Rattus norvegicus: one gene and its partners. The protein of the gene in region 3 binds, or shares a complex with, the protein of the main gene of each other region. Links are inferred from orthologs where the notes say so. Each region holds a gene or a part of one and is shown on either strand. Other genes may lie near its edges. The genes, in order: Zfyve28, Rictor, Rptor and Eif4ebp1.

The links.
Region 1: the proteins of Rptor (region 3) and Zfyve28 are in contact, whole or in part, in a cryo-EM structure (PDB 9F43), measured with the Homo sapiens proteins. The link is inferred for Rattus norvegicus from reciprocal best matches to the Homo sapiens genes RPTOR and ZFYVE28. Residues at the interface, in NP_065812.1 of Homo sapiens: Arg54, Arg305, Arg306, Thr317, Asp321, Phe337, Arg338, Leu341, Ala344, Arg348, Leu437, Gln438, Leu440, Leu441, Ser442, Gln443, Arg446, Pro474, Tyr475, Lys478, Leu479, Gln481, Ser482, Ser483, Ala484; in NP_066023.2 of Homo sapiens: Arg399, Val400, Phe401, Phe402, Met403, Asp404, Asp405, Val406, Glu407.
Region 2: Rptor (region 3) and Rictor share a complex: the UniProt entries of both Homo sapiens proteins name them as parts of the mechanistic target of rapamycin complex. The link is inferred for Rattus norvegicus from reciprocal best matches to the Homo sapiens genes RPTOR and RICTOR.
Region 4: the proteins of Rptor (region 3) and Eif4ebp1 are in contact, whole or in part, in a cryo-EM structure (PDB 6BCX), measured with the Homo sapiens proteins. The link is inferred for Rattus norvegicus from reciprocal best matches to the Homo sapiens genes RPTOR and EIF4EBP1. Residues at the interface, in NP_065812.1 of Homo sapiens: Arg54, Arg305, Thr317, Asp321, Phe337, Arg338, Leu341, Ala344, Arg348, Leu437, Gln438, Leu440, Leu441, Ser442, Gln443, Arg446, Tyr475, Lys478, Leu479, Gln481; in NP_004086.1 of Homo sapiens: Glu111, Ser112, Gln113, Phe114, Glu115, Met116, Asp117, Ile118.

Annotation. Positions count from the first base shown.
Region 1 is NC_086032.1:80,689,880-80,697,268, reverse strand, and holds the start of Zfyve28 (lateral signaling target protein 2 homolog), read right to left. Parts: upstream 4,273-7,389; 5' UTR 4,098-4,272; coding exon 4,059-4,097; intron 1-4,058. UniProt on the Homo sapiens protein: Negative regulator of epidermal growth factor receptor (EGFR) signaling. Acts by promoting EGFR degradation in endosomes when not monoubiquitinated.
Region 2 is NC_086020.1:57,613,864-57,620,630, reverse strand, and holds part of Rictor (rapamycin-insensitive companion of mTOR), read right to left. Parts: intron 6,673-6,767; coding exon 6,443-6,672; intron 4,660-6,442; coding exon 3,651-4,659; intron 3,378-3,650; coding exon 3,306-3,377; intron 1,551-3,305; coding exon 1,373-1,550; intron 532-1,372; coding exon 447-531; intron 1-446. UniProt on the Homo sapiens protein: Component of the mechanistic target of rapamycin complex 2 (mTORC2), which transduces signals from growth factors to pathways involved in proliferation, cytoskeletal organization, lipogenesis and anabolic output.
Region 3 is NC_086028.1:105,668,403-105,675,169, forward strand, and holds part of Rptor (regulatory-associated protein of mTOR), read left to right. Parts: intron 1-653; coding exon 654-760; intron 761-2,276; coding exon 2,277-2,404; intron 2,405-2,753; coding exon 2,754-2,840; intron 2,841-3,817; coding exon 3,818-3,934; intron 3,935-4,293; coding exon 4,294-4,423; intron 4,424-5,164; coding exon 5,165-5,233; 3' UTR 5,234-6,767. UniProt on the Homo sapiens protein: Component of the mechanistic target of rapamycin complex 1 (mTORC1), an evolutionarily conserved central nutrient sensor that stimulates anabolic reactions and macromolecule biosynthesis to promote cellular biomass generation and growth.
Region 4 is NC_086034.1:71,504,413-71,511,748, forward strand, and holds the start of Eif4ebp1 (eukaryotic translation initiation factor 4E-binding protein 1), read right to left. Parts: upstream 4,434-7,336; 5' UTR 4,382-4,433; coding exon 4,240-4,381; intron 1-4,239. UniProt on the Homo sapiens protein: Repressor of translation initiation that regulates EIF4E activity by preventing its assembly into the eIF4F complex: hypophosphorylated form competes with EIF4G1/EIF4G3 and strongly binds to EIF4E, leading to repress translation.

The DNA of each region.
Region 1 (7,389 bases), on a different chromosome or scaffold from region 3:
ACCACACACACACATACACACACATACCACACACACACCACACACACACATACACACACACACCATACAGACACACACACACTCTTACACACTCACACACACCCACACACACAGACACACCACACAGACACACACACACACTCTCACACTCACACACATACACACATACCACACACACACCACACACATTCACATACACACACACTCCTACACACTCACACATTCATATACACAGACACACCACACAGACACACAGACACACATGCTCACACAACAAACACACATACACACCCCACACACACGTACACACATACATATATACACACATATAATATATACATATTAATTAATTAAAAGGGCTGGCAAGATGGCTCAATGTGAAAGGCGCTTGCCACTAAGCCTGAAGACCTGAATTCTATCTACATATGTCACATGGAGAAAGTTGTCCTTCGACTTCCATGTATGAACGGTGGCAAGCACAGACCCCTGCACACTAAATAAATAAATAAATATTTTTTTAAAAAACTATTGTTAATAGAAAACACACCCAGCAAGTCTCACTGGCTTCCCTTGGTGAGGGCCATCTCATCTGTAATCTGACCCTAAGTGTTTGCAAACAGCTTCTCCACATCACGAAGTGGCAGTGAAGGACTTCAAGAAAACTCCACTGGAAAGGAGCGGCCTGCGGGGCAATAGCCACTCCCCTGGCAGTGGTTTGGAGCTGAGACAAGAAGGCTCTCTGTGGGGTGCATGCCTAAGTGCAGAAACTAGATACCACGCCCACCGCTCCCATACCCCTGACAAGCAGCACTGCCTGCCAATCAGTTCTTCCATGTACAACAATAGGCTCGCCCATGACAGCCAAGAATTCCAGCACAGGCAGGGCCTCAGCCTAGAGCCCTTATCCTCTTAGGACAACTTCCTCCCTCTTGGTAACCGGCAATATCATCCCAGTCAGTCAGAGAAAGCTACAGCCAAGCAAAAGTCAAGCTTGGACCTTTGTTTCAGAGACAGTCACCAACTGCCTCACCTTTCTGAAGCATACATTCTTTCTGAGGAAGACTTTACCTGCACTCTCTAAGCAACATGGACAGCTCAGCCTCTGAGCCTTAGCCACAGCCTTTTTCTCACAGACACCATGAGAAAACCCAAACCCAGGGTCACAGGAGTCTGAGAGTGCTTCAGCAAGGAAAAAGAAAGCTGTTCAAAGGCTGACTTTGAGAAAATCAATGAGGATATAACGCTTTGAGACATCATTTTAACATTATTATATTTGTCACTGGGTATGTTTTCCCTCCAACTCAAATAGATTTTAGTGCTTTGGAAACCAAAGCTTTTGTCACTGAGGAAATAATCTAAGCCTTGCTTTTGGTGAACTGTAGGAATAACAACATTTTTCAAAATATTTCTACCACAAGTTATGAACACGGTCTGTATGTGTTCAGTTTTAAACCAAAGCAGGGGGTTGGGGATTTGGCTCAGTGGTAAAGCGCTTGCCTAGGAAGCGCAAGGTCCTGGGTTCGGTCCCCAGCCCCAAATGTAAACCAAAGCAGTAGTTACGTTTAAATGTTGTTTAAGCAGTGTATCTAAATAGGAAGTGAAAGGGGATCATGTCTGAAGCAATCTCCCCCAGACATCCCACACTGCTAACATTTAACTCTGCCAGGCCCAGAATCATCTCAGGACCGACTCTCAACTCACTTGTGTCAAAACGTATTCAAATCAGTAGGAAGGAGAAACATAATCGTTCATAATCGGAGGCCAAAAAAAAAAATCTAAACTTTGGTTTGAAAAAAACTACTAGGAAGACATTAACACAGTCCAAATGCTTCAAACAATCAAGACACTGACGTTCAAGGACAGATCTCAAAGAAGAGATGCCTCACGATTAGACTGGCCTCAGGGCACCAGCTCCGGGGGAAAGTCATAGCCAGAGCAAGATCTCAGACAGAGATGTGGCTCAAGTCCAGAGGTCAAGGACAGTATCAGACAGAGAAATGACAATGAGGAACAGAACAGCTGTGAGGGCTGGGGGGGGGGGCAATCTAACCTATCTCTTCCCTTCTAAAAAGTACACGGCTTTGGGCTGAATCACCCAGAGTTACTAACTCAGCGCTCCACTTGCCATGGTCTGCACCTAGAAAGCACAACTTCAAAGGAAGGCCACTGTGAATTAGGTATAGGCGATAACCAACCGGTACATAGGCACTGCTCCTTCCTTTCCAACAGTGAGGAGGGTCACAGAACACACCTTTCCCACCGTGGCTCTGCTGGAAATGGCACCTGGAGGCCCGAGCGCTCCACAAGCGTTCTGAGAGACAGGGATGTAGCTTGGCATGCTAACAGTGCCACCTGCTCCCCTGACATTTGTTATTGAAAAAGTAAATCCCACCCCTGCAGCGACTTTTTCAGCACTGAAACTTGTCTTGTTGTTGTTGTTTGGTTTGGTTTTGCTTGCGCTAAAAACTCACTCAGTGGGGAAAACCACTCCTTGTACAGATAAGCAGGGCAGGAGCGGCTGCAGCCGCTAGCAGACCCACTAATCAACCGCAGGCAGGACTGAGCACACTGAAGGGATTGCAGCAAAGAGAGGGCCAGACGCCTAGGGCGTGGCTAAAAGCAAGAAAGACTCAAACCACACCCATTGCAAGGGTCGCCCCCACCCATTGCAAGGGTCGCCCCCTCCCACCCTCACCATATTTGCCGGCTACCAGGAAGACAGGAGCGCGAAGCGCTGCTGCACCAGCGAACAAGAATCCAGAATACCTTCTGGTCAGTCCAAGGCTGATCAAGGGCGGCCCCATGCTTTGTAAGCCTTCACCCCAACACTCTCTAACCCGAGGAAAAACTTCCCGACCTTGGCAGACAAAAAAACATAAGAGTTTCAGGTCTCTGAACGTCCCCCAAGCCTCGAATGCCAGTCTTCCAAACACTAGCTGTCTCTCCAGAACGCTCGCTCCACCTCAGAGACCATTCACAGAGTCTGGGACAGAAGAAACCCTAAACCAAGAAATGTGGCTAGTCACGGCGGGAGAAGGGTCAGTGGCTTGGGTGGGCCAATGAGAAGGAGGCTGCACTGCTCCCGCCCTTAGTCTTTGCAGTGACCCCACCCAGGTCGTGACCCTCTGAAGACCTCCAGCGTTGGCGTCCCCCAGACTCCGCCGACCCCCAACAGGCAGCTTTGGGCGCTGCAGATGTGTCCTGGATCTTCGCTGGATCCTAGCATTGCGTCGCCCACCCCGGAGCAGAGCGCACCGGGTCCGGCTCCCAGACGACAGCCCCAGGCAGGCAGGCAGCGGGACGCAGCGCCCGCAGTGCGACTGGTGCGGCTGCCGAGGCTCAGGGCGCGCCGCCCGGACCCGAACTAGCTAGTGAATCGCACCTCCGGCCCACAGAAGCTGCAGGCTCCAGGAGCCTCATCTGGAGACTGGACAGAGGACTGGTCGGAGATCCAAAAGGGTGCAGGCGGCTACCGGACGAGGATAGGGATGCAAACTGAACCAAGATCCAATTAACCCGGTTTGGGATAGAGGACCGGATCGCGGCGCGAGGGACCTCAAAGATAAGGGAAGAAAGGGTCTGACCAAAGCCTAGGGATTGGAGAAAGGGGAGTGAGAAGGTCGGTTCACAAGTGCGAAGGGAAGCTGGGAGACCCACTATTCTAGGCCAGAATAATTGTGGTGCGAAAAGATGAAGGAGCATCTGCGGTGAGGCAAGAGGGAACCAAGAGAAGTAGGGGCTCTGAGCACGCAGTCTGGGACCGCTGGGTGCGGGCTGGTGCCCATCTAGTACCCAGACGAGAAGAAACAGGCCAGTACACCCAGGCCCGAAAGAAAGAGCCCTGTCTGGTATTGGAAAAGAGCGGTCAATGCATGCCAGGTTCATGGTCTGTCCAAGTCGCGGAATGCAGGGACAGGGTATCGCAGGAACCGGAGAGAGGGATTCATACAGGGCCAGGGAAACGAGGTCTGTCTAATCGAGGAGGGACCTGCAGGGTAAGGGACCTGGAGGGGGAAAAGCGCGACGCCGGGACATGGTCCGCAGCTGGAGCCGCTCACCTTGGGTTTATACAGCCACTTTCGGAATCTGTTCATCATCGCCGCGCCGGCTCGGGCCACGCTCCGGGCGGCCCTCGCCCTCTGCAGCGCTGCGCCCCGGTCCGGCTGCGGCGCGGAGCGGACACGCAGGCAGGGCCGGGACCTGCCTGAGCAAGCGGATCCTGAGCGCTGCACAGAGCGCCGAGCAGCTGGCTGCAGGTGCGCGGGGCAGGTGCGCGGCCGGAAGGATGCTCAGCGAGCGGCGCGCGGCCGACCCAAACCCGCGAGCGGGCGGGCGCGCGGAAAGGCGCGGGCACAGGGTGCGCGATGCTTCACGGCTTGCGAGCACTCGGCGCCTCCGCTGGTCACGACCGCACATGCGCCGGAGGCGCCGCACGCCCCCGGCCCGCAGCAAGTGGTGGATGGGGCGAGCCGGGTGAGGCCGCCAATCCCCGCCCAGCGCCAAGCCGCACCCCACCCGAGACGCGCACCAAGGGAGGGCGGCTCAGGACTACAAGTCCCAGCGCCCACCGCGGGCAGGGCCTGAGCGGCGTTGCTAGGTGACGGCGCCTAAACGATGCTTAGGCGATCTGCGGGTGCAGGAGCTGGCCAGTGAGCGCTCCCGCCCGCGGTGCCTGGAGAGACGACGCGGGGGCAGGTGGAGGCCTAAGGAGGCCAAGAGGCCCGCAGGTAGGCGAGCAGGTTAAGGTGAGGGACCGCCATAGGGAGCCAGGCGCAGCCCATCCTCACTTCTCGCTAACTCGTTTTCTCCAGTTCTTAAATCTTTGCTGATTTTCTGGCCTTAGCAGGCTTCCTTTGCGCTCTTCTTCCCACGTCCTAAAATAAAATGCGCTTTCCACCACCTCCGATTTATATCCCCCCTCCCCCCCTCCTACTTTTTTTTTTTTTTTTTTGGTTCTTTTTTTCGGAGCTGGGGACCGAACCCAGCCCCCTCCTACTTTTAACAACAGGTGACCCAGATAATACAGTGTGTGCACCCTCTAGCAGCTCCAGCATCTTCCCTTAGCCTTTCAGCCCTGGACCTGCTCAGCTTTGTAGCTCACTTCTTACTCCTTGTAAGCTGCTCTCCATCCATTTCTGTGTAGTTCCAGGCAGCCACGCGGTTTCACAAACAAACATTTTTCGCTCCAACTTGGATTCAGACCTGTTTGCCTGTCCCTCACTATTTGTACAACTAACAGATCACCTTAGAGTCAACATGTCCACAACAGTATGCTCTCCCATCATAAAAACTGCTTCTGAGGCTGGGAAGATAACTCAGTCAGTAAAGTGTCTGCCCTGTTAGAAGAAGGAGGCTCAGCATGCCAGAACTCACAGGAAAAAAGAAAAAAAAAAAAAAAAAAAGCTAGGCATGGGACTGGAGATGGCGCTGTGATTGAGAATGCTGGGTGCTCTTGGCAAGACTCCAGGTTCACTTCCTAGCAACCTCCATGACTGCTCACAACTTTCTGTTACTCCATTTCCAAATAACCAAACCCCTTTTCTGGACTTCATAGGCCCTGCATGTGTGTGATACATGCAGCTGCCCTGGTTCTAGCTGTCACCTCCTAAAGCCATTAGCCCACTGGAAAAGAGAAGAAAGGAATGTCCTACACTTCAGGCTAACGCTCCCAAAGTGTATCCTCTAGTATTTCTCAGAGATGGAAGGACTTGTACACGTAGCCATAGCCAGCTTCCGAGGAGGCTGAGAAATGTCACCAACCAGTTGGGTAGCAATAGGTCCAAGCGAGAGTCAGGGTTTGTTATTCAGGAGGAAAGAGAAAGCTGCAAGGAGTGGCTTCATAGCTTGTTGTAGAAAGTTTTAATTCCATCCTGAGGTTTCTAAGCAGCCTTTAACCATTTAGTTCCCAGATAAAAGAAACACACAACCTTTATATCTACAGTAAGCCTTAAACAGCACAAGAGCTGGGCAGATACCTACCTTATGTGCAATTAGAATCTACTTTCCTATTGATACCCACGAACTATTACTTACTATGTGTCATCTGGGCTGCTCTTACCTCCAATTGGCCAGCCCTCAGGGACACATTTTTAGGGCTCACCTAACCCATGGTGGCTTCTCCTCCTTCCTCCTGCACCTTCTTCTTCCTCCTCCTCCTCCTCTGACCCCAAGCCCAGGAAACCTAAACCTCACCTATGACTCTTCTGCCCAGCTATTGACTGTTGACATCTTTCTTTACCAATCAGAAATAATGTGGGGGGCGGGGTCACTTAGGTCTGTGTGCAGACTCCACAACTCCCAACTCCCAACCCCCCCCCACCGCACTTAGCATTATGATACACAGTAAAAGACAAAACCTCGACGGGGTAAGACAAAACACTTAGCAGAGCAGCCATAGTTCCGGGGAAAGAAGACATTTTCAAACATACGTGAGAGATGGCGTGGCTGAGACTGTAGTAGTGGGTTGTATCTGATAGAAATGAACCCTCCTTGCTTGCTTCAGCCTGCCTTCCAGGGTACCTAAAGTGCCAGACCATTGAGCCCTTACTGGAGAAGGGAGTTAAAGAGCCACATATAGAGGAAATCGATCAAGAACCAGGTCTCAATGCTCACCTGTAAACTAAAAGCTGAGGCACTTGGATGTGCCTCAGTGTTGGACCAGAACCCAGTGCATGAGTGGGTTCTGTCTCTCCCTCGCAAAGCAAGCACACAGACAAATACATTCTTTTAAGTAAAGCTGAGTCTAGGTGTGACTATGTGGGCATGTGATCCCAGCACTAAGGAAGCAGAGGCAGGAGGATGGAGAGTTTGAGGCCATCCTCTACTATATATCAAGACCACCTTCCCCAAAACAACAATAAACAAGACAAAAATAAAACCAAAAATAAGTTGGAAATAAGTAAAGTTGAGGGACTCGAAGCATGCCTCATAGTTGGCCGAGCCTGTGCCTGTTCTGTAGCCATAGACATGATAGCTTTGATCAAGCTTTAGGTGAGTTTCTGAGGGGGTTCAGGGTCTACCCACCCTCAGGGTGCACCGGCTCTTTGCCACAGGTGGGGGTGCAGATTCCTACAAGGCAACCTTCACCCCACAGTGAGCAGAGGGGTCAGGCTGGATAGTTAGAAGCAGACTAGGCCCCCAGGAGCTCCCTCCCACCTTCAGTTTGGTTCTTCCATTCATTCTTTTTGAATCTTTCTACCGAGGTCCATTCTGGTCTGGAGAGGGCTTGAATTGATTTCTTCAATCCTCCTTGACTCAGATCAGCCTAGGGCGCTTGACCCACCCTTTCTGCTGAGGGATTCTGGCTCCACAGCAGGGAAGCAAGAAGCAGTCTTTGCTCCCTGGCACCCTGGGCAACCCATCCACATAAATTCAGCCCAAGACCTTGGC
Region 2 (6,767 bases), on a different chromosome or scaffold from region 3:
CTGGGATCTTCACTGCAAAAACATTTTCTTAACAAATGTGCTTTACTGTTATCTGTATACGGGATATGCTCTACTAGACTCAGTGAGAGGAAGGTCTAGCCTGGCAGACACCTGAAGCGCCAGAGCAGGAGGTAGGCGCAGGGGGTGGGGATGGGAGATGATACCTGGGGAAGCCCCCAGGTCTCCTCCTTCAGAGAAGGGATGGGGAATGGTTGTAGGAGGGGGTCACCGGGAGGGGGCCAATAAAGTGTATAAGTAAAGTGGGTAAGTAAGAAATAAAATAAAAAAATTTTTTAAATATGCTTTAATTTTTAGTTGAATAAATTATTTTGTCTTAGTGTTTAAATAAACCCCTGAGTTTAGTGTACCTAATTTTTAGTGTTATCTCACTAAAAAGAGACTTTCATTTTAAAGTTAAACGTCTCAGAGAACAGGGAGCACATTACCTCCTCCGTCATGGGAGAACGTTCTTGCACCTCGGTCATCTGGTGGAGGCACATGCTTTGACTGAAAATAAGGAATATCCTTTACCTGCAATGCACACAAATCATGTCAGTTTCACCATACAAAGAAATTCACCTTATGAATATTAAGAAATTAAGAACTAAAGGAAATGTTACAGAAATAGAATTACTGTAGCATACAAATCTAGAAGGCAAAGCTTACTAAAGAAGATTAAAATTACCAAAATATACCCAAATACTAGTCTCCTCTTTAACCATGTTCCTGGTGAACTGAGTGGGTACTGTTTATGTAAGGCTGGGGATGGTCTCAGTGGGTTCAGGTGCTTGCTGTACATGTATGATAATCCCCACCATGCACATAAGATGCTGGATGTGTTCACATGGCTATCTGCACGTCAGACATGGCCATGAAGCATGGAGACAGTGACGTACGCTTGCTGCCTGCCAGCCTGGGTTCAGATTCTAGGAGCAATCCCGTGTCAAGGGAGAAAGGCAAAGTACTAAGCAGGATGACTTACAACTTCCTCTGTCTACTACAGGCATATGGACCTACACACACACACGCACCCACACTTCTACTGTACACACAAAGAAAAACAGAGTGAAGAAATGCTACAACAGTCATCTAAGAAAATATGTATTCTTCAGAACTATCACATGCAACTAGGAACTGTGTATATCTCATGGGAGCAGGGCTACTGCATATGGATACCACAAGGGGCTAACGCCAGTCAAACAAAGGAAACTGGCTAGAGACTGCAGCCTCTGAAGAGGAGCACACAAGAGCAGACTATACAGAGCAGCTCAGAGTATACCCTCTATAAACTACAATTCCTAATAAGGAGCTACAGAACATTTAAAAACAAAACACGAAGCCATCTCATAGAAAACAGAAGCACTCTGAATACCTGGAATATGTCATTGATGTCTACTGGAAGAGCAAGTCCAATGTAGTCATCAGAACCTCCATATGTAGCACTGGATACCATAGACCTAACTGAGGAGGATCGCTGCAGGGTATTTTGATTAATAGGACTTAATAAATCTTCTTTATCTAATGATGCATAACTTAAAGCTTTCATAAACCTGTAACATGACAAAAACACCTTGCATTAGCGTCTTTATTTGCACTGGTAAGTAGGTTAAAAACAGCAAGAACTCCCAATTTGTACTACCATCCGAGCAGGTAGTCAACCAGCAGGCAGCAGCACCTCCGTCTCCTGTGAGTACAGAAGCACTTTAACATTAGCTGCTAGGTATCAGAGACCAGGTCGGCAGTACTGTCAATGTCGCCCAAAGAACAACTCTTTCGTCCCCAGGGAAAGATGAGAAGGTAGGCAAAGAGAATAATGTTAATACTCAGAGAAAAGGAAACTAACCTACCGCTAAGTGCAGCTCCAAGTCTGCCTTTGCACGCAGCAGAGATGCTAGACTTGCTAGACTGTACAGCTAAAGAGATATCCACTAACACCAAGCAATGCAGTTCTGAAGAGTAGGATTAGTTATCAATCTTGTGTGCTATAATGCTATCATTATCACATGAGCTTTCTGTAACACACAAGGTGCACACAGGAGTAAAATCCTATCATTTGTAAATATTACAAGGACATCTCACTGAACACTAGTCTTTTTCTGGACACTCTTCACAAGATTCTACAGCCATGGCATATGGACGTCTCTGTAAGTGTAATCTGTCATACTCATTACTACATGCAAGACACTGTGCACTCTGTGTGTGCCTTGTTAAATACAGGAAACGCTATTCGATGTCTCACATTACTAACTGGAAAACCAAGTCTTAAAAAAAATACAAATGTAAATCAAAGGATTATTTCACACAAAACACACAAAAGAAATATGTGTTTGAAATAGTAGCCATTAAGATTATAGAAGCAAAAACAATTTCTAATTTCCAAAAAAACCGCTTCTTATCTTTATGAATTTTGTGAAAGGTAAAGTTTTTCAAGGTTAGATCTCTGATTCTACAAAGCTCTTCAGGGACTACTGGAATTGGGAGAATTAAGGGAATATTTTACTTTCCAATTCTATTTTAAGGAACCATAGCTCCATCTTGAAATGCATTGATTGTTGGGTTTGTATAGACATCCCTCAGGGAGAAAAAAAGTTTCTGCTTAGAAAGCAGCATCTTACTTAAAAGTTTAAAACCAATGGTCTAGCCTCGTCTCTAGTAGCCAAGCTTACAGAGGCCCAGACAACTACTGCACCAGCTCTGCTGCTCAGCTGTGGCCCTCTACCTATGTCTCACGTCTGTGTCCTCCATTCATGAAGACTGCAGAGCCACAGACTTCCAGCTACAACAACCATTATTGTAATCTTTTTTTAAAGAGGGGACAAAATTTCCTATCTGCTAACAGGACCTTCTTTTTTAAAAATGTTACTAACACTCAGAAATGAGTGACCATTACATAAGTTAACTCCCAATTCTGATAGTGAGACTATCCTGTAAATGAGGGCTTATTTTCTCTTTCCCACGGTGAAGTAACTACTTGACACCTAGCAGTCTGCTTAAAAAAGTATAAATCATAAGTGGATATAATTCAACAAGCACAGGTTCGGAACTTTTTACAACAATCAAATTTCAAAGTGTATCATTGTAAAAAAACAAACCTAAACTATACTTGATACACCCTAAATTTGGATTATTTAATATAAAATTAGAATCTCTCCCTTAGTCTTGAGGGCCCTGGAATTCATTTAGTGTTTATTAGGTTCCTATTTAATTATGTGTACTTAAAACAAATTAAAATAATTTAACTGAGGCTTTCAGTTATTTTAAAAAAATAGTAAGAGGTCACCTTTTGGAGCTTTAAATTGACCTACCTGAAAAGGTTGTTTGCTATTGTAGGTCTTAAGCTCCTGATTCCCCCGACATGCTTCTTTTTAAAATCGATCCTTGCAGAAGCGAGAAATAAATAAAAACGCTTGTGACTTCTGTAACCTTGCAAACACGCTTATTTTCAGGGCCTAATGGAGTTTATTTCCCCCCTCGCGGCTGCAAGAATCCATTTCAAAATCCTATCAGGTAACGAGGAGCTCACAGCCTACATTGGCAACTGGGTCAGTTCTGAGACTTAGTCTCTGTGGTGCTCAAGCTGACTCATGTCTTACATTTCCATCTGTTACAGTCAAACCATTCTGACTCGTCTTTCAGTGTTTACTGCTCACCTGCTTGGCGTCAGTCTGGACTCAAAGCTGTTGGCCTTCATGGTGATGGTGTCGGTAAAGAGCACATCTTTTGCTGGTGATGCCAAAGCTTCAGAGTGAGACAAGGATGGGTGCATTCTTTGCTGCTGTAATCTTTTCAATGTAGCATAGCCAAAGGCATCTCTAGAACTTGTGTAGCTAAAGTTGCAATCTGCTAGGCTTTTTATTGTTGCAATGGAGGGCGCTTTAAGGGACTGTGCTCTTCTAGGAAGGGTATGAGAAGAACCTGGTGGCACCAGGGACACTGAGTTCGATTTGGAGAGAGACAGATGGTTAGCCTGTGGTGTCAGATAGTGGCTCGTCTTAACAGTTTTAGTACTTACCACAGTACTCAGACTTCCACAGTCTGTGTCCATAGTTGTAGAGTCTACAGCAACTGTCTCTCGGGAGGGACTCGAACTCATGGAACTGATGCCACTCGTTGTAGTGTCTGTGTTAAAGCTTTGGCTGCGGATCTTCATATGTGAGCCTGCTGAGCTTTCTACAACCAGCCTTTCTCGGCTTGTGTTTTCTCTGTGATTCTCTGGACCAAAACTCTTGGGGAATTTTAAGTCATTATCTCCAATACTTGGAGTGCTGCCAGTGTCTTCAAGGTGCTTATTCCCAACAAAGGAAGTTTCTAGCTGCAATGTTTTCTGTGCTGGGGAGATGTTCGTGAAGTCATCGCTGTGATTAAAGTCAACACTGGGCTCTGTAAATGTTCTGATTCGCCGGTTGCTTGTCTTATTTTCAGATGACAGTTTCCCTCCTTTCGGATCACTGCTACTTCGGTGTTTTTTAGTAGGCAAAGTAAGTGAATTTAAGATACGATTTTTTACAAGTTTGCTAGAGGCAAAAAAGGGGAATGAATTTTTATCCTTTATGGGTCCAGGTCGGTCATAAAATGCTGGCTCGGCGTCTTCATTGATGTCAAGGAAAAATGTACTGGTAGAGCTGCTGCCAAACCGGTCATCCTCCAGTATGAACATGCCTGTAATTGAACCGTCAGCTCAAAGAATGCAAACACGAAGAATTTGGCACAATGCTAAGTGCTACCGTATCTTTTTAACCAGTCATGGGGAAGGGGATTAATTAATAATACTGCCTCCCTGAAGCTCAAAGTTAGGATACCAATTTTAAAAAAAAATAGAAGATTGTATTTGTATCATGGTGAGGATCTATGAAGAAAAACTACAAGGCTCATGCTGGTACAGAGTATATGAAGTTTCTACTGATTTTTCAAAACATTCAAGATAAAGTGAAAGGACTCTGGAGCATGGCCGCTCATTCTGTTAAGTGAAGGAAGACCAGTGGCAAGGCTTCTTCTTTACATTACAGTGGCAGGAGATACCACCTTAGAAGAAGTGGATTCCCTAAACTTGACATATACTGCAGCCCTCCACATCTGAGTTATGCACATATGGGTTCAACTAGAGACCAAAAATACGCATAGAAAGGTGCTTATTATAAACCTGTACCTTTCTTGATATCTGTAGCCTAGACAGGCTCTGTGATCTCTAGCACGAGCACCCTGAGGCCTGTGTGACCAGGCCTAGTTTGTTATCTAGTTTGTTGTTGCTGCTGCTGTTTGAGACAGGATTTCTCTGTGACAGCTCTGGCTGTCCTGGAACCTGCTCTGTAAACTAGGCTGGCATGTAAAACATGAAGATACACCTGCCTCTGCCCCCCACCCACCCCAATTGCTGGGATTAAAGTGTGTGCTACCTTGCTTACCTGTGTTATGATTGTAAAGCAAAGAAATATGCCTTCACTTCTGTAACTCATAGCACCAACACAGACTGAATCCATCACCTGCTTCTCACATCATTTCTCTCTGACATTCTATCTTTTAGCAATGCGCCTATTTCCTTTTTTTCTCTCTAGTTCTGAGACATAAACCCAGAACTTTACAGGAAAGGGTCAGGGGCTTTATAACTCAGTGACATCAGTGGCTTCCCACACTATTTTAACATCTAATGAGTAGTATTACTTTAATTTTTAGATTAATTAGTATATTTTCAATAATTAATAAGTATAATTAATCAGTATGGTGTGCATGCAGACCTAAACTCTCTCCTTTCCTTTCTTTTTTCGCTGGTACTGGTGAAACAAATTTAAACCTAACTATAAGAAAAGAAATAAAAAGTCTATGCAAGAAAAAAACCAAAACCTAAATAAGATGTCTGGGAGTAACCAAATAATGTATTTGTTTTAGAAGGGAAACAAAGGCATAACAAGACATGTGACTCTCTCAGCAAATATATTCTAGTTCAATTATGTACATGTAGGAAAAAATTAAGTTATGAAGGTAGGTAAAAACCTGCTAGACCTATCTGTTCTGAAAAAGGAGCTGGTTTCCTGATACATGATTTATGATCATTTCTGATTATGTAATTCCTAAAAGCTACCTTAAAAAAAAGGGAGTGAACAGGTTAGGTAGTGGTTACTGTTGGGAAAAGGAAAGCAGCCTCCAATAGGCTCTAAGCAGCCAGATGCTATGTCTGCGAAGGGAAGCACTGGATCTGGGTCTGTCTATACGCCTGTATCCCAGCACTCAAGAGACGGAGGCAGGAAGACCAGGGATTCAAAACCATCCCTGCTACTTAGCAAGTTCCTGGTCATTCAAGATGCTTGCTCCCCAACAGCCCAAAAACTAATTAGAAAAGAAAAGTAAACTCAGAATATAATGAATACATTTAAGTTTTGAAATCAGAAAGAAAAACTCCAAGACTGACTCTGGGGTTGGTTTGATGTGAACCCATCATGGTACTCACTTGACGGTGCAGACTCACTTTCACTGTTATGTCTAGAGCTGGTCGACTCAGAGTTCAGGCTGAGGGTGCTTGGAACAGATGAGAGCTCATTGCATAGCTGTTCCACATCATCTGGAACCACGGGCCACAGATGCTTGCGACTGTGCCTCACAGAATCCCAGCTGTGACACTTTAGAATATCACAGCCTTGCTTGGTTTTAGCTATCAGCCCAAGAACATACACACAGGTCCTACATGGAAAAATATGCACCAAATACGTTTATAACTCCAAGGAGAGATTTCTTAAATAGTCATAAAACAATCTACTGTATGGGTATCTACAGTT
Region 3 (6,767 bases):
CTGTGTACAGAGCTCGTTTACAAACACTTGGCTCTGATGGAGGCACATGCCCATGTGAACAGAATGACCTTTTAAGAATTCCTGGGTTGGGGATTTGGCTCAGTGGAAGAGCGCTTGCCTAGTAAGCGCAAGGCCCTGGGTTCGGTCCCCAGCTCCGAAAAATAGGAAAGAAAAAAAAAAAAAAAGAATTCCTGAGAGCTGAGCCAAGTTGCCCACTGGCCATCCTCCTGCCTCAGTCCCTCGGTAGCTGGGAGACAGCACGTGCTATTGCACCTAGCCAGAGCTCTTGCTATGTTGTACTTGTCTGCTCGTCTCCGTCTGGGCACTCAGCATTGTATGCTGTGCTAGAGCATCCAGGTACCCATGGCCTATATAGAACCTCTGCTTCTAGGTGTTCTGACTTAGCCTGGAGGCCCCTGAAAGGTGACCTGCTATTTATGTCTCAGAGTTAGAGAAGATGTATTTGGTGTACAGAGATTCTAAGACCCTGTTGTCCTGTGATTCAATGCCATGAATGGGTGGAGTGTATAAGGTTCTGGGAGAGCACAGAGCTCATCGGAGAATTGTTGCAGGAACCTGGCCTTACATGAGTGAGGGGGATGCCCCATCCTGCCTGAGCCATTGTTTGACATGGTGACTCCACTGTTTCCCAGGAGCTGGGATGGTGGTGGACTGGGAACAAGAAACTGGCCTCCTCATGAGCTCAGGGGACGTGCGCATTGTCCGGATCTGGGATACCGACCGGGAGACGAAGGTCCAGGTAACCACTACAGGCCCCTGCACAGACCCCACTCTTTACCGTGCCTAAGCCTTCACACTCACAAAACAGACCCCTCATCAGTCAGTGACTGCTATCCCGCTCTCTGTGTGGGGGAGGCAATGGCATCTCGCTGCCAGGTGAAAAGCTGATTAATTACTCCTGGATACACATTGATCATGGCACTTTGACCTGAGTTAGTTACAGCAGTAATTAAGGTTATGCTAACCCAAGTTATTTCCAGATATTGTTTTCTTCATGCAAATCAGGGAATATCAGGAATCAGTAGGGTGAAATATCTTACATGAGTACAGTTAACTGTTTGACATCTGCGTCTCTCTCCTTACCCTGGTGCTGTGCAGAAGGCAGGGCCCTGTGTATGCTAAGCACCTCCTCACTGCCCATGAGCTGGAATTTGGCCCCTTACTTAGACCACGTTTTATTTTCAAGATTGTTTGTTTGGGGACATAATTCTACCGTGTTAGACCAGTCCAGCTCCAAGTCTTCCATTTTGATTAGAGTTGGTTTTGCCTCAGATACCTGGGCTTCCTTGCCAGAGTCCAGTTGCCTCCTTCAGGTCCAAGGCAGGATCACAGGTCCTGTAAGGACAACACACACATAGCTGAGGGACGTCTGTCTTCCTGGTGCCCAAAGACACAGAGCACAGACTAGGCCGCAGCACTCTTCAGCCTGCCCTGCCCAAGTGGAGACCTGGACAAATCATGGACCTCTCACAGAACAGAGGGGCAGAGCAGGCTGGAGTGACGGAAGCTGGTGAGACTTGAGGCCTGTCTACCAGCACCGGCTAGACGCTTCCATGCATCCTCAAGCCCCATAATGCCGCCAAACAGTTAAACACTGTCTTCCAGGGTCCCTGTCCCCACAGGGAGATGGTGTGGGGTTCCTGCAGGTACAGAGCTCCTTGGGTGACATCATGTCAGCTGCAAAGGCAGGAGTGAGGCTCTTTCACCACCTCCCCCATTCACACCCCCTCCCCATCCCGTGGGTTCCTCTCAGGCTCACCCCATCTGATTAGAAAGCACTTTTCCCTCTGAGGCCATTTCCAGCTCCAGTTCCTTCTTGCTTCCATTCATCACCCCTTGCCCTTCTGCAGTATTTATGGCCACCACAGGGAGCAGAGAAGCCTTTCCTTAGTGCTTCCCTGCCTAATTAGGGGTTTGAGGAGAGAGCTAACGAGGCTCCCTCCCTGCCAAAATGTGCTTCGTCTTTCTTTTCAGGAAAGGGAGAGATTGCTGGAAAGTTTAATTGGCACTGAGAGCCAGGCATCCCCACAGTTGCCTTCCAGACTGTACCCAGGCACAGGCTCAGGGCAGACGCTCACGCAGATCAGGCATGACTGATGCCCTGTGAGCCCTGCACTACCCTTGGCCCAGTTCCTCCAGCCTGTGATAGCCTTGCAGGTGGAGACCAGTTTCTCAGCCTGAGAGAGCAGAGGATATCTCCACAGAACATACTTCAGCCAGCTTGAGGCTCCTCACTGCTCTCTTTTTGGGCTTAGGACATCCCCACGGGGGCCGACAGCTGTGTGACAAGTTTATCTTGTGATTCGCACCGCTCACTCATTGTAGCTGGCCTGGGTGATGGCTCGATCCGTGTCTACGACAGGAGGATGGCACTCAGTGAATGGTAACTGTCACATCTCCCCTCTCCTTACCTTTCACTGTCTGGCTTCTTTAAGCTGACCCCACAGAGATACAAACAGTAGCCTCACTAAACTGCCATTGAATGCAGGACCAGGAGGTCTTCTTCATCCCAAAATGGCACTAAGACTTCAAGGCTAGAACTGGGGAAGTAGAGGCTAGAGAGATGAGGGGGGTGGCCTAGGACAGCCTAACTAGTGCCTCCTTGCTGGATGTCCTCCTGAGGCTCAGCCCAAGGGCAGGGCTGCCAGCTCCCGTTCACACCACTCCTCCTAACCCTACCCTGAGCAATGGGACAGGGCTGGGCCAGTCCTGACTACACCTTCCTCCTTTAGCCGGGTCATGACTTACCGAGAGCACACAGCATGGGTGGTAAAGGCCTACCTGCAGAAGCACCCTGAGGGCCACATCGTGAGTGTGAGGTAAGGAGTAAAATTTGCTGTGAAAACATTATTTTCCCTCCATTTAAATATGTCTTCGGTGTTTAAATAGCTAGGGACTGTTGGCATTTCAGGGCAGTAATTGACTCTGCTCTGTGACTGGCCAGCAAGGTCAGAGTGTGGAGCAAGAGTGGGGGCTGGGCTGGGCTGGGTTGGGGGGCTGGGCTGGGTTGGGGGGCTGGGCTGGGGGTGTTGGGGGCGCTGAGCTGAAGGAAGAGATGCACAGGCAGGTGTGTCCCTCGAGCAGGAGAGGCAAAGCAGAATGCATTGGGTGGCACATCCCCAGCAGGCCACCTTGTCGCCAGCCAGCCTGTGCACATAAATTCAGGCCTGCTGCTCAGTAAATACTGTGCTGAGAGCAGCGAATCTTTATTTGCCTGTTAAAGAGACAGCAGAGCATAATTTACTGTCACAAACCCACCACTTCTTCAGAGAGATGCTCTTCTCCCTTGTCTGTGGCATAAAGCAAAGCACAATTCTTGGAATGGACACTGAAGCAGAAGCCATAAGCCTAAGCCAGGTGATCTGGCCCCCTGTGGGGCTGAGCATCCACCAGGCCCCTCTGCCCTCTTCTACCTCATGGACTCTGCCTCATGAGCTGCAGCCTGCGATGACTGTTCCTGTCCTTGCTTGTAATCCCTTCTCTGACCCCGGTGTGTCCTGCTTTGTGAGCATGGCAGCTCCCTTTAGTCAATCCTAGTCTTTTCTGGCTTGAGAGGGACAGCTTGATGGGGACCCCAAGACCAGTGGGCATGATGTGGTGATCTGGGCTCCACCTGTTGGCCCTTGGAGGGGTCCTGGGAGTCTGCATAGCTTTGGCCTTACCAGCGTGTGCAAGTGGACATTGACACTTTTCATGGCCAGTTTCACATCCTTCAGAGTCAGGTGCTCCCCCTAGGGGCTCAGGTAGTATCCCTAAGGATGCCACCAGCAGGCATCACCCTGGTCCTCTCTCGCAGTGTCAATGGAGATGTGCGATTCTTCGATCCTCGGATGCCTGAGTCTGTGAATGTAATGCAGATTGTGAAGGGGCTGACAGCCCTCGACATCCACCCCCAGGCAAACCTGATCGCCTGGTAGGTACCCTGCCTCCATGCAGCCCCTACTTCTAAGCAAAAGTCCCCTTGAGAGTGCTCATCCCTTGGCTCTGTCCTCCACAGTGGCTTTGGAAGAGGGTGTAACTTTACTACCCCGAAATAAAAGCAAAAGAAGTCTGTGTGCCTTAACCTGCCCTCTGTGCATCTCGGGACAGGCCTGGTTCTTCCCGGCTGTAACCAATGAGCAGTCACTTCCTGCCTCAGGGTGACACGCAGATGGACAGCCTAGCCTGTGCCCCACATGCTGGAACTCTCAGCCAGCACCCTGGACTGTCTTTCTCCTGCACCTCAGGGAAACAGAAACTAATATCCTGACCGTCTTTCCCTCCCTACCACAGTGGCTCCATGAACCAGTTCACAGCCATCTACAACGGCAATGGGGAGCTGATCAACAACATCAAATACTACGATGGCTTCATGGGCCAGCGAGTCGGGGCCATCAGCTGCCTGGCTTTCCACCCACACTGGGTCTGTGCCTTCACTCCTGGGTTTTGGGGGTGGGTGGAAGGGTAACCCAGGAAGCTGGAGTCCTCCTTCCTGACTCCAAGAACATAAAGAACTGAGATCTACTATTCTTGGGGTATCCAGAAAAACATTGTCCGGCCCCTAGAAACCAAACCCAGTTCTTTTTTTTTGGAGCTGGGGACTGAACCCAGGGCCTTGCGCTTGCTAGGCAAGTGCTCTACCATTGAGCCAAATCCCCAACCCCCCTAAACCCAGTTCTTAATGCTCAGGTAAACTAGATAACACAGAGGGAGAGGCAGCTAGTGTCCTCTGGTGTGGGGAGCAGTAGGACAGTGTCGCTGAACACTTGTGTCCATAATGTAATCACGCAGATGGATTGTTGGATGGTTAGCATTTTGCAGAGCGGGCTCCACAGGAACCTGTGTGTAGCATGTTGAGGTGCATAGCATCAGATTCCCAGAACCACCCCAGGGGGGCAATCCTGAAAGGAAGCTGCAGGGAATTGTGGGTAGTATGCAAATCACCTGTAATGCAATTTGGATGATGTATCATTCCTGCTCGAATCTGGCAGTTAATGACCCTCATTTCTGTGCCTGTGTGGAGTTCAGAGGTGTTAATCCTCACCCCCACTAGAGCTCAGCACAGAGCACAGGCAGCCTGCACCCCTTCCTCTGGCTCTGCCCAGTGCTGCAGCTCCTACCGCATCACAGGCCCTGCTCATGTGCTTCTGCTCTCTCCACACAGCCTCATCTGGCCGTCGGAAGCAATGACTACTACATTTCTGTATATTCGGTGGAGAAGCGTGTCAGATAGCGGCACCTCGGACTCGTGCCAGGCTGCAGCCACCCTCTGCTGTACATAGCGAACCAGCCTGCACTGCTCAGGATCAGTGCCCACCTCCCACCCACCTGCAAACCCTGGCTCCTGGCCTGGCGTGGCCAGCTGAGGAGGGGCTTGCACATCCTCCCTTCTGTCTTCACTGTAATGTGCAGGTCCAGAGCAGGGGAGGGTTTGACATGGCTTCCCATCGAGAACCAGGACCCAGGCACCAAGGGCCTCCTCAGTACAGCATGGTCCTTTCCTGCCCTGTTTCCTTCTGAGGTTTTACAAAGGAACACATTTGATTTTTCCATGCGATCAAAGCATTAGTCACAGAACAGACAGCACCCTGGAGAAAAGCTATGTTGGGGCTTCTGAGGGCTGTGGCCCAGCCCCTCAGAGTAGGAAAGTAGATGGAAGCAATTGAGGGAAGAAGAGGGGGGAGGCCTCTCCTGCTACTCAAGGTATGGAAGTGTGAGCCTGGCCCTCCTAGAGCACTGAGGCAGTCCAACACACTGGCTATGTCATGGTGGTATGAGGAAAGGGATCCCCGTCCTGCACAGCTAGAACTCTGAGGTCCAGTCTGGTTCCCTCACATGAGCTGGTGCAGGAGAGGGTCTGGTTCTGGGCAGATGAGGCAGATCTGTAGTCAGCGGCTGCCTACCTCTGCCAGGCACATTCTGAAGTGCTTCTCTCCCACAGGCCAGTAACAGTGGCCACAGCCCTGTCTCCTGCTTGTGCCACACACAGGCACACACACATGCAGGCACACAGCGTTCCTATCCATGCTTACATGGGTGTCCTGGTCTTCCTGCCTGTGCACACTTGGGTGTGCATTCGTGCAGGCCCACAGTCTCCCCTCCTGCACATATATGGGCACTGTGGCCGGCCATATGCACACGCATGCTGGCCTCACCAGGTTCAGAGACTACGCTGGACCCAGAGGCTCGAGGGCAGCATCAGCTGTGTTGGTGTGACTGAGGTTGCATGATGCAGTCTGTGTTGTGGAGGAGTTCAGCAGTGTCCTGGTGTGCCTGACACGTGTCTGTGCACATGCAAGTGAGGGACACTGCATTGCTGAGCAGTTGCACACAAACAGGACACAACACAATGATGTTTTGAAAAGCATTTTACGTTTTCCCTGGGAATCAGGATCTTTCAGAGGAGGACAAGCGCCCACAGGAGCCCGGGACACAGGTTGGGACAGCTGTGGCAGAGGCTGGGTCCCTGTGCTGTGCTTGGTGGACCTGTTTTAGCCAAGAGCATCTTCCCTGTGGAAGGATCCCTACAGGCCAAGCAGGGCAAGCAGGACGGGTAGGCGCTGGTGCTGCCCTGGAGATGCACTCTCCCAACATGGAGGAGCTTAGAGGAAGTCATCCCCTCAGTTGGGCCAGACAGCAGTGTGGCGTCAGGACGGCCCTAGAACCACCTGACTTGCCACCTTCTCAGTTCTGCAGAGTGCTCCAGGGGGTGGGTATCCTTGTCCAACTGGTGATTCAGTTCAGCAGCGAAGGGCCCTGGTGGGCTG
Region 4 (7,336 bases), on a different chromosome or scaffold from region 3:
AAGGTCACTTTAAGCAATCTTCATTTTCAATATTGCTATTCCCATCTAACTCATTTTCCTGAGCATCAAATGAAGGCTCAATTTGGGAAAAAAAATGATTTGAGCCATTCTATCTGCCTCTCTCCGCCTAAGTCGGTAATGACTTTCACTGTTATGGTTGGGGAGAATCAAACTCACCTTGAACTAATGAATACCTGTTGCTTTGGGAGGATTTTGAAAAGAAAAAGGCGACCTCTGAAGGTCACTAAAACCTAGAGGCTCGCCTCCTTAGACCACCATGTAGCACGGAGACAAGCTCTGTTGGATTATCAGACATCTTCTGCGGCCCTGGGGTCTATGTACAAAAACACAAAGCAAAATCACTGTGAGTGGGGCTGGAGAGATGGCTCAGATGTTAAGAGCACTGGCTGCGGGGTTGGGGATTTAGCTCAGTAGTAGAGCGCTTGCCTAGGAAGCGCAAGACCCTGGGTTCGGTCCCCAGGTCCCCAGCTCCGAAAAAAAGAACCAAAAAAAAAAAAAAAAAAAAAAAGCACTGGCTGCTCACCCAGAGGTCCTGAGTTCAATTCCCAGCATCCACATGGTGGCTCACAACTGTCTGTAATGGGATCCAATGCTCTCTTCGAGTGTGTCTGAAGACAGCTTCAGTGTACACATACACATAAAATAAATAAATCTTTTTTTTTTTGTTCCTGTGGAAGCAAGAAGAGGCAACCCCTCCAGCTAGAATCATAGTGGGCAGAGGTCCAGGGGCATCCTGTAGGTGCTAAAGGACAGACCTTCCCGAGAGCAGCACGCACTTTTTGACCCGAGCCATCTCTTCCGGCCCATGCTTGTACCAAATCTCAGCTGTATCTTCACCTGAATCCCAACCCTCCATGTCAGACTACCTTCCTAGTCAGGATGCAGGGCATGCCTTAAAAACCAAGAGGCCTCAAAGGGAGTTTAGAGTGCTCTACCCAACTCCTTCCAATTCAGTACTTATGTTCCAGAACCTAATGTATATTGTTTTGAACACTTTAAAAGGAAGCTTGGGTGTGTGAGAGAGAGATGGGGACCATTCTATCTCCTTGCTGGTTCGATATCCAAGCTCTCTCATTTGGCCCATAATAATATCCTCAGCCGTAACTTCTCCCCTCTATGTGACTAAGACCTCAGGGAGAGAAGGACATCAAGGACATCAAGTCACCAGCAGCAGCACCCAGCCCGCTCCCCTCTTCACAGCACTGCCAGAGCTAAACACTTGGCAGCCACCTCAAGGTTGGCTTCCTAGACAGAGACTTTTTTTCTCTGATAGGGTCTGGCTATGAAGGTCTGGCTGACCTGGAACTTACTATGCACACTGTAAACCAGGCTAGCTTCAACCTCACAAAGATCTTCCTGTCTTTGCCCCACGACATTCACCTTCACCACTAAACAAAGCAACGTCATTAACACCTCCCACCCTACCTGCTTGTCTGATGAACCTCACCCAGGTACTATTAGGTACGGCCACCCAAACAACTTCTGTAGGTTTCGGGGTCAAACATCCATCCTGGGCGCTCACTAGAAGATCCTGTTTATGACGTTGCTGGCAATCTTAGAGACTCCGAGCTTCAAATAGTCTTGTCTTCAAACACTCCCTCCAGAAATGTCTTAGGTTACCGAAGGGTTAATGACCACCGACCAGAGTCTCAGGAATGGGTCCCAGGAATGGATATTCAGGCCACCTGCTGTGTCCTTGCCACCAGAGGCAGCTGCTTCAAAGCCATCCTCAGCTGCAGTGGCTTCCTGCAGTATTTCTTCATGAGGTGCTTACAGCCCCTACAGGTCAAGCCACACGCCAAGGTGTGTAGAAAGCCTAAGTTCAAGAAACGTCAGCCTGACTTTATGCCTGGATGGAATCTACTTTGCCAGACTCATAAAGATCTGAAAGAGGGGGGAATCATATATATGTATATACACATGCATACACACACGCACACATACATACATACAAACATACACACATATACACACATGCACACACATACATACATATATACATACATTCATGGGTTTTGTTGCTGCTGGTCCCTTTCACCTGGAATTCCTGAGTTCTCAAAATGGAATGTGGCCGCTCAAACATATAATGGTTAGACAAATGACTCAGCCCAGCTTCAAGCTCACGGGCTTTATACACCTATAGATCCCGGAGGACATAGTAAATGTGTCCCAGTCGGCCCCTGATATATGTACGAAAATTCAAAAGCTAGATGGATTTTCAGGGAAGAATAGGGGAGAGCAAACAGAAATAGTCCAAAAGGTATTCAACAGCCAAGACAATAAAGAAAACCCGAATGGCTAGATGTGGCGGTGCACACGGTAACTCCCAGCACTCAGGGGGCTAAGGCCGCTGGATCTCTGTGTAGCCCTGGCTGTCCTGTAACAGGTCTCTGTAGACCTCTGCCCTCCGATTCTGTATTTAATCGGGGCCCTAAGTGATGAGAAACACTCCGGAGCAAATGGGTCAAGCTTCTGCAGGTTGGCAGAGGTGACCTGGAATGAATGGCCTTTGGGACAAGATCCCACTCCTAAACTAAAGAATAGGCTTGCTGACTTCGGCAGAAACAAGCAAGACTTTCCTCAGTTGTGGACCGTGCAACACAAACACACACACAATAACAACCACAAACAAACAAACAGAACTGACAAGGGCCAGCTGCTTTGGGGACCTGATAGCTTTCTCTCAGTTAAGAAGCAAATGCTTCTTCCTCTTCAAAGACAATAGGAACTGCCCGGTTGGCCAATGAGAACACTTCCCAGACCGCAGTGAGAAGTGGCTCAGAGTTCATTACAAACAGTACTGGCTGTTGCTACTCAGCTAACCTGTCCATCCAGAAAGAGAGAAAAAAGTTTCCCATCTCCGTGCCTTATTTAAAACAAAACAAAACAACCCCACCCAGATTCACACCTCACCTAAAAGGACTATACTGTCTGTGGAACTTTGTGCCCCACACAAAGTTCTGTGAAAAGACAAAAGGTGCAACAGCTTGGACTAAAAAGAGGCCAGGAGGAATGTAGGAGGCCAGAAGCCTGCAGAGAACTTTTCCTTGGCCATTTCTAATGAGAGGGAGAACGCTCTCTCCCCCTACCTGCTTGCTACTTCTTGCTGTGTCTAGGGAACGGCAATGCGTACAGACACGTGCTCAAGCAGCGAGGCCTTGGGACTGTGTTCTGAAGATCACAGCACTCACTGGACACTGATCTCCAAGATCCCTTCATCAGTAGCTTGGTTCTGGGATCTGGCTGTGCTCCCTGGTGTAGGGACAGCTGCCCGAGAAAATAGGCATGTGGCCTGGCTGCGCCGGCAGTGGCCCAAGGTTCACCACCGCGCCAGGGTTTCTCTTGTTTTTGAGTTGTAAGAGGAGTAGTTGGGGGAGGAGACCGGGGGAGGGGAGAAGCGCAAAAGTGGGTGGGAGCAGCGCGAGGATTGGGAGGGAAGTAGGGAGCCACGAGGATTTCATCACGCAAACGGGCGGGTAGGTTTCATCAGCGCCTATACTGGGGCTGGGAATGCCTGGTTCCCGGAGGCCAGCCCCCACCCGCGCCAACTCAGCTTCCTCTTCCTCATCCTCCGCCACTTGGGCGAATTCAGCGCTGCGCCCTGCCCCCAGGCCGGAGGAACGTGTTGTTCTGCACTACACCAGATGCGGCCCCTGCAGGGACCTCTCTCTCTCTCTCTCTCCTAACAGGCTCGATGCCACAGGTGGCCAAGACGTTCTTCTGAGGCAGGGAGCACCTCCAGCACCCAGCCTCCATTAATGAGCGAGTGTCCAACGCAAAAATGTGGGTTGCTCCCCGAAAAGGTTAAAAAGTGTGCAGGCGTCATTTATGCCAAGAGAGATCAACTAAACTTAATCTCCAGGCCACCCACTTTCCCTGATCTTGTCCTACCCTAGAACTACCCTGACACCCACAGAGGCAGCCCTTAAGCACATGGTGGTCCTGGCAGAGTGCCTATCTGTATGCTCAGGGCACTCTGCGGTGTCTCCCAGGAAAATTCTAAGGTAGGCAGTTTGCAGCCTGGTCTCCTGACCACGCTCCACCACACCCAGAAGGCGGGCAACCGAGACGGCGACCCTTCTGCTTTCCCGACGCCCCTTGTCCTTTCTGTCCAGCTACCGAACCCCCGTATGGCGCCCTCCCCGTCGCAAGTGAGACTCCGGATCCCGGCGTAGCCTCCAGCCCCCGAGGTTGCCCGGGACCCCGGCCCGCGCCTACCTCCCGGGGTGGTGCTGAAGAGCGTGCCGCCGGGGGTGGTGCTGTAGTCCCCGGGCGGGAGCTGCACGCCGTCGCCGAGGGCTACGCGGCGAGTGGGGATAGCCCGGCTGGGAGTCTGGCTGCAACTGCTGCCCGCCGACATGTCTCCTGCACGCCGCCCACGACCCTCCAGCAACCCCGCGGCACCTCGGCCCAGCCCTTCTCGTGCCCGTCCCGCCCCTTCCGCCTGGGCTCCACGCCCCCAGAGACTTGCGGTCCGCCCGGCCCCACCCAGCTCCAGCCCGCTGCCTGCAAGTGGTTCCCAGCTGCTGACCTAGGCAGGAACCCCAAAGCTGGCCCCTTGTGTTCCCCGGTTCCTCCCCAAGACTCTGGGAAGAACTATGTAGAGGCGACGGTGGCGGAGTTCTCCGATTTAGTGGCAGCGTCTCAGCGTACCAGACCGCCTGTTTTCTATATTAGGATGTGACCTCTCGATCCCGGGCCGTTCCAAAGAGAAGAAAGGGTGGGCTGATCCTTCGCCCTTCTTAACGTTTCTTCAGCTTTCCCCGGTACAGTAGGAGTCAGAGCAGTAGCTGCACAACGCACATTCCTGGACTTGAAAGGAGTGGTGGAAGAGTAAGAGGAAACTAGCCAGCCAGCTGGGAACCGAATATAAAACTGATAAGGAATGGGTAGGGACGGTGGGCTGGGAAGGATTAGAGTTGGTCAAAGAACCCAATAGTACCTGGATTGGGTTCTACTCCAGCACTTTGTCTGGTAGTCGCTAGGGAAGGAAAGGAAAATACATGTCCAATCGATTTCGGAGAGTCTGTGGCAGCCTCCAAGTGGTAGGATATGCCTATAATCCCCGCAGTGTGGAAGCTGAAGCCCTAGGAGGATCCCGAGTTGACAGCCAGACTACTTAATGAGACTCCATCTCAACAAAACATAGCATGTAAACAATAACAACCACGAATAGCAGAAAACCCAAGTTCAGAAACGGGCGGGGTTTTGCACAAGCTTTCACAGCTGTTGAATACACATCTGAGGCCAAGGTAGGGCCAGAACCCTGTTGTCATTGTTGTTCAGGCTAGCCTGAGAGAACACAGTAGGCCACCTTCCTCCCTTTGGGAGAAGCGTTTTGAAAGGAGTTTTGCCTTTTGCTTTGTTTGGTTGTTCTAGAGGCCCCAGATTTCCTGGAACTAAGATTTCAGGGAAGGGCCTGCTTACGAAGGCCAACATTCAAGCTCAAAATTCAAGTGCTACACACTTGTCCCAGCAATTACAAGACGGAAGCAGGAGAAGTCTAGCCTGTGCTACATAGCCAAACCCTGACTCTGACAAAAGAGAAAGCTGGAACTGGGCAAGCCAGCTCACATAGTCCTCGTACTGGAGAAACTGAAACAGGATTACCACAAAGTTGAGGCCAGAGTTATGGTGAGTTTGAGTCACAGCCTGAGCCAGACATGTAAGACCTTGTCTTAAACCGTGAAAGAGAGAGAAAAACGGGGCCAGGGGAAGCTTGGAATGCAGCATACTTGGTAGACAGTTTACCTAGTACACACTAAATTCGTGGTTAAATCCCAAACACCAACATAAAAACTGAATGTGGTGGCACTTTGTAAACTTGTAATCCCAGAACTCAGGAAGTAAAGGTTGGGGGATCAGAAGTTCAAGGCCATCCTCAGCTATATATCTATAGGCAACCTGTCTCAATTTTTAAAAGTAGTGGTGTGAAGGGAGTCTTAATAGCTATGAAGGCACTAAAAGACTGGAGATATCTAAGCTTGGAATCTCTTGGTTCAGAAACCCCATAGTCCCTTGTACAAAGATAGAGCTAGTGTGGTGGTTTGAATAAGAATGGCCCCCATACATTTGTATTTTTGGTCATCAGAGAGTGGCACTACTTGAGAAGGATTAGGAGGTGTGGCCTTTATTAGCATTCTGCCTAAGCTCCACCCCACAGTTGCCTGGCAACACCCAGGTATGCCTGACTCACAAAAAAGGAGTCTGCTTGCCCCCTCTTGCTCTCTTGCTCCTCTCTTCCTCTTGCCTTCCTGCCCCACTCTCTTCCCATTCCCCATCCTCCTCTCTCCACATGCTCACGGCCATCCTCTATGTCTCTCTCTCCTCTCTCTCTCTCTCTCTCTCTCTCTCTCTCTCTCTCTCTCTCTCTCTGCCCCTACTACCCTCTTAACTCCCCTCCCCATGCCCTGAATAAACTCTATTCTATACTATACTAGCATGCGGCTAGTCTCTCAGGGAGAAGGGATGCCTTCCCCCTTCTCACAGAGGCACCCCCTTCCCCCACACCTCACCACACATCCACAGAACATATCCCCCCTCTCTTCATCTTTTTATAAACACACCAGCCTTGTTAAAGGAAATGTGTCAATGAGGGTGGGCTTTGAGGTTTCAAAAGTCCAAGCCAGGCCCGATGGCTCTCTCTCTCTCTCTCTTACTGCTGCCTACAGATCCAAATAGGAAAGTCTCATCTACCTCTCCAGCACCATGTCTGCCTGGGTGCCACCATGCTCCCCACCATGGTGATAAAAGATTATCCCCCTAAAACTGTAAGAAGCCTCCATTAAATGTGTTCTTTTATAAGAGTTGCAGTGGTCACGGTGGCTCTTCACAGCAAGAGAACACTGACTAAGACAGCTACCCCTAAGGCACTCAGGTAGACTCGGGTGATTGCCAACAAGCCTACCACCACAGCTAGGAGGGACCTGAGCCTAAGGGTAAGCGCCATTTCCCAGCCTTCCACTAAGTAGCTCTCCTTTAATAAACTACAAGGACCCTGAGCATGGCCATTTTAAGAATTTTCTTACAAATTCTCTGCTCAATTCTGTCTCTCGCACAACCATTTTGCCCAGGGTGATTCCTGCCTCTTTCCGGGCAGGAATTCATTCATATCAAGTCTTCCAATTGAATATAAAAGGATATAGGGGGTTGAGATGGCCAAGCAGATAAAGGTACTTCATGCCAACTCTAACCTGAGTTTCATCCCTGTGAGAGAGCGAGAACAGATTCCCACAAAATGACCTCTTCCCTCTACATGAGCACCATAACGTATTTTTACATGCACCCTATGCACTTGCACAAAACAAATAAGTGT